Drosophila melanogaster: one gene and its partners. The protein of the gene in region 2 purifies or fractionates together with the protein of the main gene of each other region. This does not show direct contact. Each region holds a gene or a part of one and is shown on either strand. Other genes may lie near its edges. The genes, in order: CG4553, CG4611 and mTerf3.

Region 1 (3,485 bases), on a different chromosome or scaffold from region 2:
GTACAAGGATCTCCTCAACCTGCACTCAAATATTGTCCATCCCAGCGGGATGTACATGAATCCCCTGCTCTACGCCAACCAGAATCCCAATGCCGCTGGCTACAACCAGGGCACTGGTGGTGTTCCGCCAATGGCGGGCGGATCGGTGGCACATGGGCCACCGGCAGCACCTGCTCCGGGCTTTGAACCGGATAAGGTATACGAGATCGACTAAAATACCCGAATCGAACCAATGCCGTGGTTACACCCTTTAATTTAATCGTAGGTAATTCGTCGACTTTGTCGATATTTCCTGTGGACTAAAGTTACAAATGTGGTTTATCCTATCTAATTACAATTACCAATTACCCATAACCGAGCGCATAAGATTATTTTTTCGTCAACTCAGTTAAGTTCGAAACTGTCCTAATTCATGTGTAGACTTACATTAGATACAAGTAAAAACAACAAAATATACAGCATATGATTTAAATACATATTTACACGATATAGATCATGGCTATATACAAACAATTCTGCGTATCCGGCTAGGACAAGCAGAATTACAATTATTTAACACGCGACATAAAGATAACAAAAATAAATGGCACAGATATTATAATAAATGCGTAACGATTTTTCTCCTCAAAAGTGAATGTTTTGCAGATATGGGAAGGAAAACTATTAATCATCAAAACTATGAGTAAGAAACGAACTATATAAGGATTATAAAAACGTTCGTGATATATAATCAAATCGGTTTATTTAACTAATCCAGGTCTATACAAGATTACAAGCTAAAAGGAATGCATTCCTGTTTCATTTGGGTGGCATTTGTCTGCTTATCATGCGGAGCTGCTGCATCTGCTGTGCCTGCAGCATGTGTGGACTGGGCTGCATGGGTCCGCCGGGTTGCATTGCACCCGGAGGCATTCCGGGCATCATTCCCGGTCGCGGCGGTGTACCTCCCATGGGTGGCATTCCGCCACCGGGACCTTGCAGCATTCCAGAGCCGATGGGCGGCGTGGGGCGACTGTGTACGCCCTGTTGGATGTCCGATAGGCAGGCCTTCCACTCCTCCAGGCGATTGTAGTGCTTCTGCAGGAGTGCCTCCTTGCGTTGAATCTCGATGCTCAGGTCCTGATTCTCGTCCTTGATCAGCATGTAGGGCTTCAGCGTGGAGACGAGAAAACGCTTCTGCAGGAAGAACGCCTCCATTTGGCGGGCGACGTCTATGAAGCGATTTGTGGTCTTCTGTACCTCCAGATCGATTTCCTCCTTGTTTGTCCCGGAATTCGGCTCCTGTTTGGTCAGCGTCAGCAGGCACGACTGGAAGGCCTCCTCGAACTCGTCCATCAGGTTACCGCCGCCGGACTCATTGCTGGCCATGATTTCGTGAGCTTGGAAGTCGAATAAACAATTAAATACAAATAACTTCGCCGGTTCAGCGGAAACAACAAAAAAATCAGCAACACAATTTCGGGAGGGTTGTTACGTTTTGTAAAGTGCTATACCGACGACTTATCGATAATGAATTAGAAGACGATAAGCGCTATATATCGATAGCCTTAATCGCGGTTTGCATGCGGCTGTTTATGTAAACAAAAAGTTTAAATGACTTAAAATTGTTCACCAAGATGACTGCCCGCATGATCCAACGCGGCCTGCACACTGCTCGCTCCTGTCTGTTGGCGAGAGCTCCTCGTCGCGCAAATCCTGGACTAGGTTACCAGCTGGAGCAGCTGCAGGAGCACCCGGAAAAGAGCAGCGAAGCTAGCGAGGATTACGCCGATCTGGAGTCGGATTTCATGGACGTGCAGAAGACCCATCGGCAGTACGAGAGGGAGCAGCAGCAGCATCGCGACCGCATCCGTCAGTTTATGATAAAGCACAAGTATTTCCGAGACGCCAAGTTGCCCAATCTCTTGCTTCATGCCGAAAAGGAGCAGATGCGCCTGCTGCACGAGCGAGATCCCGAGGAATGGAGCGTTGAGCGATTGGCCGAAAGTTTTCCCGCCACTCCGGACATTGTGCAGAAAATTCTGCGGGCCAAGTGGCGACCGAGAAGTGTGCAAAGGATACGCTCCCACGATGAAACCGTCATTAAAAACTGGCAGCTTTTAGGGACGGGAAAGGGTGACTTCAGTATCCCACCGTCTCTTCTCCAGCATCTGCAGAAATTCGCCGAGCGAAGGTGGCAGGATCTGCGGGAGCTTAAAATCCAGGATTGGCCCACAAAATCACAACTACCGACTCCGCAAGGCAACGAATTCCGCAAACTGCTGGGCAGCAGTAGTAAAACAACAGAGGAGATGCCTACACCACAAATCCCATCCGGCTATGAAGCTCCACCCTCTGCTGCCGAAGATGAAACCTATTTGTTGGACAAAATCCGTAATAAAAAGAAGATGCGGCTGCAGGAGCTTAAGGAATTGCAGCTCGTTGAGTCTGCGCCCGCAGTTCCAGAGGAAATGAAGCGGCCCATCGAGAATCCCAGTGGCACCGGATTCCTGCCCAGTTTCGTGCCCAAGTTTGCGAGCAGCGAGATTGTGATCAGTGCCGCGGATCAGCGCAAGTATGAAATAACCCAGGTGAAAACACGCATTGTTATTCCCCGGAAACTGCATCGCCAAGGAGCCACTTACCGGGTGGAGGATGCCTATTACGATGACGATGGAGAGCTGCTCTACCGAGTGCCTGGAATGACCAGAGCCAGTGGTGATAAATAGCAAATGCCACTTTTAGGTAATATTTATTCGAAAAGAGCATTGTTTAAATTGTAAATTTCGAAAATTGTTAATCACAAGCTTTGTCATCATTGTTTTGTATAAAAATATATAAAACATTTGATACACAGATTCTTAGTTACTTCATGGTCAGCGGTTGAAGGCGGTGGCGATCAAATCACTGCCCGCCATTAGAGAGTCGGATGCCACGGTTATTTGGGCGCCTGTTAGCTTTGCCACAAAATCGCAGGCGGCGATTTCCGCATAACTGGCACCACCCACAATGAATACAAAGAGATTCCTGAGACGCAAGGGGAACATATCCTGATCTGCAACTCCGTTTAGCTTCACTTGGCTGGCATAGGCCTTGGGCGTGATTTTTCCGCTGTCCAGGTGTAGATGCAGCCCCTCAATCATGCCCAGCTTCGAGGACAACTCCTCAGCACTATTGATTTTCAGCAAAATGGAGCAGAGCTGAGCCACCAATGGTATGTAGGTGCCATTGAACACAAAACTGGGACAGGTCTGCAAGCCACTGGATTGGCTCTTGGAGGAGGAACCTCCATCCTGACCATCTCCACTGGAGGTCAACAGCTTTAGCCGATTAGCATTGGCCTGAAACTCCGTTTGCTGGAACTTGGGCAGAGGTAGATTTGAGAGCAGTTTCGTTGGCGCCTTTTTCTCCACCACAAGTGGTGGCAACAAGCCCGCCTGCGACAACTGCTGGAACACGCCCAATTCCTGGTGTCCAAACAGATTGCAGTAGTTCCGCGCAAATAT
Region 2 (4,607 bases):
GATTTCAAAGGAGAAGCCTGCCTGATCAAGGAGCGGTTCGTAAAGAAGTACCGCCACCCGGAACTGAACACCCAGATCACGCGGCAGCGCATGAAAGCGGAGGCCAAGGCATCGGGAAGATGTCTAGCCGCTGGAATCCTGGCACCAAAGATCCTCCACTCGGACCTCAACACCCACAAGCTGTATATGGAATATTTCGATGCAGCCAAGACTGCCAAGCAGTTCATCCAGGAAACAGTGTCCACTCAGACGGAGGATGAAGCCAAGAAATGTCTGCTGGAGTTCTGCACGCGGATCGGTGAAATCATTGGGAAAATGCACTCCAATCACATTATACATGGCGATCTCACCACATCTAACATCCTCATCAATCCGAAGGGTGGCGACTACGATGTCATTCTGATTGACTTCGGCTTGAGCCACTACAATCAGGCCACCGAGGACAAGGGTGTGGATCTGTACGTCCTGGAGCGGGCGCTACTCAGTACGCACAGCGAACAGCCGTATATCTTCGAGCACGTCCTGGCCGCCTATCGCACAGCGTGCGGTAAGGACGAACAGGCAGTGCTCACCAAGTTCGAGGAGGTGCGAGCACGCGGACGCAAAAGAACCATGATTGGTTAACGAATAATAATAAACTTTATTGGGAGTTAAACTTTTTAGCTTATTCTATCCTCTTCAAAGACTCTTTGGGAGGGTCATCCTTCAGCTCGTGTATCTTGATCTTCTTGATGTACTTTCGCTGTTTCGTTTTGTGCTTGAGCTGCTCGTGCTTGAGTGGTTCCATTCCGTTGACAGGCGGCAGCTTGAACTGGTCATACGGGCGCTCCTTCACCTTGGCAATGGCGTCCTCCAGCTTGAGACCGGACAGTCCCTGCTCCTCGTAGTACAGGCGGTATTTATCACAGAACTTAGAGTGGCCCTTCTTAAAGGCTGCCGTCTTGGTTGATGGATGCTGCATATACACAACAATTAATGATTTAACTAGCAGAAAGTTAGCTATAAACTCACTCTGGCATCAATGGCTCGCGCACAACCTCTGTGAAAGTTGTGCAGGTGCCGCAGGAAGGCTTCATTTGGCTTAAGGCCCTCCTCCAGACTCAACTGAATGATCTCGTTGACGTAGCTAAAGGATTTGTTAGCACATCCCTGCCGCAGCATGGCCCCCAGTATGGGCATGTTCATCTTAATGCCCGCCACATGCATCTGTTCCAGCAGTTCCCTAGCCTCTTCCTGCGTGCGACAACCCAAAGCGAGCACACCGTAGGTGACAATGTCCGGCCGCAAACCCGCCGTGCGAATCATGAGGAGCACTTCCTTGGCACTCTCGTAATCAAAGCGCATGGAACGCTTTTTAATCAGTATGTTGAAGAAGTCGATGTCCGCCTTGAGGCCAATCTTGCGCACAAACGTGAGCAGCTGCTTCTCGGCAGCATTTGTGGGCGGTATCACCTCCAGCATTGCGGTAAATGTCTCGATGTCCGGTGTAATGTTGTGCTGCTTCATGTGCTCCAGAAAGCCAGTGAGACCGCCGAGTAGCAAGAAACGTTCGTGTGGACGTGTCACCTCCTCCAGGGCCACCAGACTGCCCAGATGCGGCTGAGGCAGCAAAAGATTGGGCAGTTCCAGCTCGCTCGCTGTGGTGGCCACCTCAATTTGGGCAGGCAACGTAGTTGTGTTGGCTTCCACACTGGGTAAATCATCTTGCTGACCTTTCTCCAACTGGAGAACTGGTTTCTTTCTAGCAGCTGAGGGCGCAATTTTATCGATAACCTCTCGCATGGAATCCAAGTCACCGAAGCCACAATCCCTTGCACATCTCAGCATTGCATTGAAGCTGTAGTAGTCCGGGCTAATACCTCGCTGCAACATGTTGTGCCAAGTCAGCAGAGCATGCCGGAAACCGTGCTCCGAGTTGCTGGCACACGCCTGCAGCAGAAAGTTGAATGTATCTGCATTCAGTTCCAGCTGGCGCTCCATCATTTCGTCGGCCAGCATGTAGGCGGTGTCCACATCGCCACACCTTCCATACGCCTTGATCATGGCATTGTAGTTTTTCACATTTGGTTCGTAGCCCTTCTCGAGCATGTTCTCCCGCAGGATTTGGGCCTTGGCCAGGCCATCGCTCACGGAGGGAGCATTGGCGCAGGCGTTGAATAGCGAAGTGTAGGTTCCTCCGGTGACTTGAAGACCACGTTGCCGCATCTTGGTGTACAGGAAGAAGGCCTTGCGGGTGTAGCCCGCCTTGGCACAGCCACTGATCAGCAGATTGTATATGTACTTGTCCGGCTTGGCGCGATCCTCCTTTAGCATCCGTTGCTCCAGCACGGCGATGGCCTCATTTAGGCGATTCGCCTTAAGATGGTCCTTAATTTGGCGGGCGTATTCCACGGCTTTTAGTTTCTTTGAGCGCCTAGTGGAATTGCTAAGGAACTCCTCTTCCTCGACATCACCCGGGTCTTCTGTTGCAGCCACCTTGGCATCGCCAAAGGTGTCCGGATCACCAAAATCCTGCACCTTTTTGGTGGACTTCTCTTTGGGTTTCTTTTCTGGCTTAAACTTCTGGTGCTCCTTGGGTGCTGCTGTGATAAGTTCTTCAAAAACTTCTTCGCGAAAAGGATTCTGGTTCCTGTTGGCCTCTCGTTTGGTCTCCAAACCGGCTTGTTGATCCGTAATCCTCACGTGCAGCAGGCGATTTTGTGAGCAAGACCAAGTTGCAGGCAGAATAACCAGCCGGCTGATGTTGTAACTATTTAACCGTCTTCCGGTGGCATTTAATTGCAAGCCACGTATGTGGCAGCTCATTGAACGGCTAATCAACCGCAGAGCCATGTTATCTGTTGCAATTTTCTGTGATTTTTATGTAATTAAAAAAAAACTATTTTAAACGTGCGTGTGGCGGCGGTGTAAATAAAGAAACAGCTGATGAAGGGGCGTTGCCACCTTGTGTCCGAAATGCCAGTCAAATAAGAACGTAAGCAACCTGCACGGCATTCACATTCCACGCAAACATCCATTGCAATCTGACCTGGTTTTTCGATTAAATTGGTGAAAATTAAATAAATTAAAAATGAACATGACCGTGGATCCGCGCCGCAAGGAGAAGATCAACCGCTACAAGGCGCCCAAGAACCAGGGCCAGAGCGGCGGCGCCAACGAGGACATGATGCCGGATTACATGAACATTCTGGGCATGATTTTCTCCATGTGTGGACTGATGATGAAGGTAATAACACCCCAAAGATTACAACCAAGTGACTTGGCATTTATCAGTATGTAACCCACCTACACAGCTCAAGTGGTGCGCCTGGTTTGCGCTGTACTGCTCCTGCATTAGTTTCGCCAGTTCTCGGGCCAGCGACGATGCCAAACAGGTGCTCTCCTCCTTTATGTTGAGCGTCAGTGCGGTGGTGATGTCCTACCTCCAGAATCCCGCTGCCATGACCCCACCATGGGCTTCCTAGCACTGGACCTAAGATAACTATTTTAAATTTAATGTAATTGAACAGTTGAGAGCCTCGGTTTTGTTCGACGCTCAGTAAAAAAGTACGTACGTAGTTGGTTGCCTTGTGAATTCAGGACAGCTTTCTGGAACTTGACCTTATAGCTATATAGGTACCAACTCCAAGACTTGCCTAGTGTAGATGAAGGTATATTTTATTGCATTCCGAAAGGGATTAAAAGGGGACTAACATGAATACAGGCGGCTGGGCTCAATTCAATAATTAATAACTTAGGTAGGCGGTGATGTGGAGGTAGTACTGCTAATGAGATGACTCCTCGCACGGCGATTGTGGCTAGGTGGTGAGCAGGTAGTAGGCGAACAGCATGAATGCCACAATGTAGACGGTGCCGAAGATCAGGACGTATTAAATCTCTCCAAAGTTCTTGTGTCCGGTTTGCTTGGCATGCTCCTGGGCCTGCACCTGGCCGACCAGCCTGACATCGCACTGCATGCAGCGCAGCGTGAATTTATCCACATTGGTGTATTGGCGGGAGGACTGCGCCTCGTTGGCCAACTGCTCGGCCTGCTGATAGACGCCCAGCTCTTCCACCGGGAAGATGGTGGCCGGCGCAGCACTCGGCGATGTCTCCATGTACAGCGGATCGTAGTGGATGCCATCGAAGAGCAGGAAGACACGCAGTCCAAAGTTCTTGTCCTCGCCAAAGCGATTGATAATGGCGTTTTGTATGTCCACCACATCGATCTCAATGCCATAGTAGTTGGACAGTATGGACACTTCGATGGCGCCGCCCCACGAATCCGCCTTCTGTATCCAGGCGCAGTACTCGGCATTCGATTTGCCCAGCACGGCGTCGTTGTAGCTCTGCGGATCGGCGGCCACCTCCTGCGCAATGATGTGACGCATCATTTCGCTGCCCTCGTTGTCCACCTTCCCGTTGAGCACGAATCGTATGCTGGTGAAGAGGCACGAATTGTCCGCCGGCACCACCTTCTTCAGCAGTATGCCATTAAAGTCGCCATTCGGTCCGCTTTCCGTCGGCGCCACTGGCAGCTGGTAGTCTGCTGCCTGGGCGACTGGACCGCCAGCGGTTTCCTGCAGCAGCTGTGCCTCCTCCTCGGCCTGCAGACGACGCGCCAGCGC
Region 3 (3,822 bases), about 15 Mb from region 2:
CTCCCCTTCTCTGTCTCTTTCTCCTTCTCCGATTCTCCGCGGATTGCATTGCCACAAAAAAGCACAATTGCCAAGGAGTAATTCCATTGATGCACCCAACATCATGCACTACGATATTAAAATTAAAATAGTCTAACCAGTTATTGTTAACTTTTATATCTGCTACTTTTGATCTACAATTTTTCATTTCACTTTTCTAGGTAAATTGTCGCCGCAAAAAGAGAAGAAACTAAAATAAGAAGTTGATATAAATAAACTTTAAAGCTGCAGAAACAAAGTGGATCGGGCCATTCTTTAAATTAAAAACCAAAACAGAGAAGAGAATTATGTACATAAACTAAAGAAAACTGTACTGATTAAATTAAATACATAACATGTAAATATATATATATATATGTATAAAAGATATATATATATATATATATATATTTATTAAAAAGACAAAATGGAATTATTGTACTTGTTAATAAGAGAATATAAAGGACATTCTATGTTCTAGTGCTAGGTTAATACAATACAAAAGATTTAATTGTCTTAGCTTAAGCTACAAACCAATCTGGCTTTTCTCGAGCTATGTACAGAAGCGCATCTGATTCTAGACCTCCAGAATTGCCGACATGGTCTTCTTGACCGCATCGCGGGCGTAGGGGATGTACGACAGCGAGTACCAGGTCATGGCCAGAGATTGTATGATAATGAATATAAGCGTGAGTCCCGCCTTTTTCCACTAAAGCCAATCAAATAAAAATAATAACATATTAAGTGCACACATCGATTGCATCGTACTGTTTTTTTGTTCAAGTAATAAGAATTAAACCAATATTCAGAATTTAATTGCTAGGGCATGTGAAACTGTGTTATTAATATTAAAAGTAAAATGCTAAAAGCTTTCATTTAACTTTACTGTGAGTTCATGAAGTATGTATAAGATTTGGATCGCTATTTCATTGGATAACTTTAAAGTCTAAACATTAAGGAAAAGTTTTCTACAAAACCTGCAAACAAATTCGTCATGCTATCGCTATAAAACTAACTTGATTATAAAAGTTAACGACCGAACCCTAAATAATTGTGATATCTTCGATTTGAGCATGGACGCCTTACCACAATAGCAGCGATGAACGTCAGGACCATCATGACGAGCACGATGATGGTGGCGATCAGCCGTGTTTCCGCAAACATTTTCTTGATCTGCTTGAAGGGACCCATGAGAAAGCAGGTACTGAAACCGGAGAAGAGAGACTCATTAGCCGGCTTGTGTGAAGTACGAGTGGAACGGAACCAGCAACTCGCTCACCTGGCCATCGAGATGACGTTTCCTAGAGTGTAGAAGACCGCAAAGACCACAATGCCCCTGTGCAGAAATAGGGCGACCGAGCCGAGTAGGGAAAGTAAGATGCCCAAGGCAAAGCAGATGACGAATCCCTTGATCCGAGTGGACCAGCTCAAAGTGGACATGTCGTTGATCTGCGTATGTAATTGATTGATATTAACTAAATACTTTGATAAGCGTTGGGTCACACGGCTTGGGGCGCCATGTGATCGCGGGGCGTTGCCAGCGGCTAGCTCCTAAGCCACGCCATAATCATAATTCCTCCAGCCAGAATATGTTAAGGGATCTAATGAGATCTGTACCATTAGAAAATTTCTTCACCTGCGTAATGATACTGCTCTCCTCCTCCGGAGTGGGCTCATCTCCACTCAGAACGCGGCGCAACTTGTCCATTATGCGGCGATTGAATAATGTTCAACAGGTGGCTGACTTGGAATTACCGGCACTCCTCTCGGGGGGTTTTGCACATACAAGGGTCTCTTCTGTTTTTATGCTCCGGAATTTTCACACCAAAATAAATCCAAGATCATACCTAGTGTGACCGTGGTGGTAACCGTTAACATATACCGTCCGATTAAAAATTATACCAACAATTTGCAATTTTATATATATCTTCATAAAAAAACTAAAGAAATCAGATATTAGTAGTGCATTTTTGTTCAAGAATATCCATTTAAAAACAAATATGTTTTTATATCAAAATCATATTCAAAATATAATTTTAGCTTTTTCTAGCTAGCATGCCATATTTAGAAACTTTGGCAGCCAACTGCTGGTCACATTCGCGACATCTGGCAACGCCTCCAGCATGTTTTGTTCAGCTCTACGTAACATTTTGAGGAATTCACAAAATGCGGCTAAAAACGCAACAATTACCTCACAAATACGAAATCTGCGAGGACAACAAAGTGTCCACCATGAGGTAGAAGTGTTAACATCACCGGGTATAACCACCAAACAGAATGACAAGAAGACCGAGCCTGCGGAATGTGAAGGCTCCAAAGAAGTGGCTCTGGACTTCCGAAATCGGGAGGCCCATGTGCCTTCCTTCAATTTGGCGGCCTATGTGAACAACTCGAGTACCCTGCAGCAATTTCTCAGCTTGGGAGTGGATCTGCACAGTATTGAACGGCGAAAGGGATTGGGAGACTTTGTACTGAAGCTGGATTTCGAGAAAAATGTGAAGCCCTACATAACGTTCCTGGTGGATCAGGGCGTATCACCCGATGACTTCGGCAGGATGTTCACCAAGAACCCGCTGCTGTTCAAGGAGGACTTGGACGATCTGCAGACCAGAGTGAACTATCTAAAAAGCAAGAGATTCTCGGACGAAGCCAGGCAAAGAATTCTCACCCAGAATCCTTATTGGCTGATGTTCTCCACCAGGCGAGTGGATCGTCGATTGGGTTACTTCCAAAAGGAGTTCAAATTGAGTGGTCATGATCTGCGACTGTTGGCCACCAGAGAACCCAATGCCATTACCTACAATATGGAACACCTCCGCAAGTCTGTGTTCACCCTTAAGGAGGAAATGGGATTCAATGCCAAGGAGCTAAGTGACCTGGTGGTACGAAAGCCGCGCCTCTTGATGATTCGTAAGTCTATCTACATTCAAAATTAAGGACATTTGTAATTAAACAACTTATCCTTGCAGCTCCGGATGATCTTGTCGAGCGATTTAGTTACATTCACCAGGATATGGGCCTTCCACATGCCCAGATTGTCCAGTGCCCGGAGCTTTTGGCCTCACGCGAATTTAGACTGCGGGAACGTCATGAGTTCCTGAAATTGCTTGGAAGAGCGCAATATGATCCGCAAAAAGACCTGTATATATCGCCAAAAACTATAGTGGAAGGCAATAACTTTTATTTCGTCCGAAATGTGGCTAAAAGTGATTTGGAAACATTTGATTTGTTTTTGAAAACGAGATAAGAATAAAATAAAAGTAAATGTATATATACTTTTCATATTCATATATGCATATGCATATATTTTCAAAAGTCAACAGAAACCAAGTTTTATCATTTTAAAAATAACCACCAATAAATTTACTTGATACAAGGGATGCCAGATGTAGGAAAACATAGACACGCACCTGGATTGCTACCGTTTCTCCATCTGGTCACACTGGACAGCAACAAAAGATTTAAACTACGCATTAAGCTTGTGCGTAGAAACGAATCGTGTTTAATTTTAGTTACAAGACAGTCGCTTCGGGAGAAGCATTAAACAAAGTTGCAATATTTCGGAGCTCCAGCGGTTGGCTTCAGTCCGAAACCAGTAGTTATAGTCAAATCGAGTGCAGCGGCGGAGAAACAGCGCCAAACGAAAAGTAAAACGCATTTTCCTACGCATACATAAACAGCAAAAGCGAATACACAAACACAGGCAGACATACGGAAGGGCCAAAAAAAACTTGGTCAAACTCACGAAAGAATAATAGAAATAGTTTAACTTTAAAGCGAGTTAATAATAAGCAATAAACCCAA

What was found.
Region 1: the proteins of CG4611 (region 2) and CG4553 purify together in Drosophila melanogaster (affinity purification with mass spectrometry, with the first as the bait; one large-scale study listed by BioGRID). This does not show direct contact.
Region 3: the proteins of CG4611 (region 2) and mTerf3 purify together in Drosophila melanogaster (affinity purification with mass spectrometry, with the first as the bait; one large-scale study listed by BioGRID). This does not show direct contact.

Annotation. Positions count from the first base shown.
Region 1 is NT_033777.3:25,474,985-25,478,469, reverse strand, and holds CG4553 (uncharacterized protein), read left to right. Parts: upstream 1-1,554; 5' UTR 1,555-1,616; coding exon 1,617-2,708; 3' UTR 2,709-2,834; downstream 2,835-3,485. Other genes in the region: XNP, read left to right, coding at 1-214; MED28 (mediator complex subunit 28), read right to left, coding at 799-1,368; Vps33B (vacuolar protein sorting 33B), read right to left, coding at 2,856-3,485.
Region 2 is NT_037436.4:5,134,697-5,139,303, reverse strand, and holds CG4611 (uncharacterized protein), read right to left. Parts: upstream 2,929-4,607; 5' UTR 2,833-2,928; coding exon 1,012-2,832; intron 956-1,011; coding exon 665-955; 3' UTR 625-664; downstream 1-624. Other genes in the region: Tcs5 (Threonyl-carbamoyl synthesis 5), read left to right, coding at 1-624; CG10674 (uncharacterized protein), read left to right, coding at 3,071-3,226, 3,294-3,464; Yod1 deubiquitinase, read right to left, coding at 3,870-4,607.
Region 3 is NT_037436.4:20,519,060-20,522,881, reverse strand, and holds mTerf3 (mitochondrial transcription termination factor 3), read left to right. Parts: upstream 1-2,109; 5' UTR 2,110-2,141; coding exon 2,142-2,928; intron 2,929-2,987; coding exon 2,988-3,265; 3' UTR 3,266-3,292; downstream 3,293-3,822. Other genes in the region: Pss (phosphatidylserine synthase), read left to right, coding at 201-238; CG5104 (uncharacterized protein), read right to left, coding at 596-727, 1,105-1,222, 1,298-1,467, 1,655-1,726. UniProt on the Drosophila melanogaster protein: Binds promoter DNA and regulates initiation of transcription. Regulator of mitochondrial ribosome biogenesis and translation that is essential for development. Required for normal mitochondrial transcription and translation.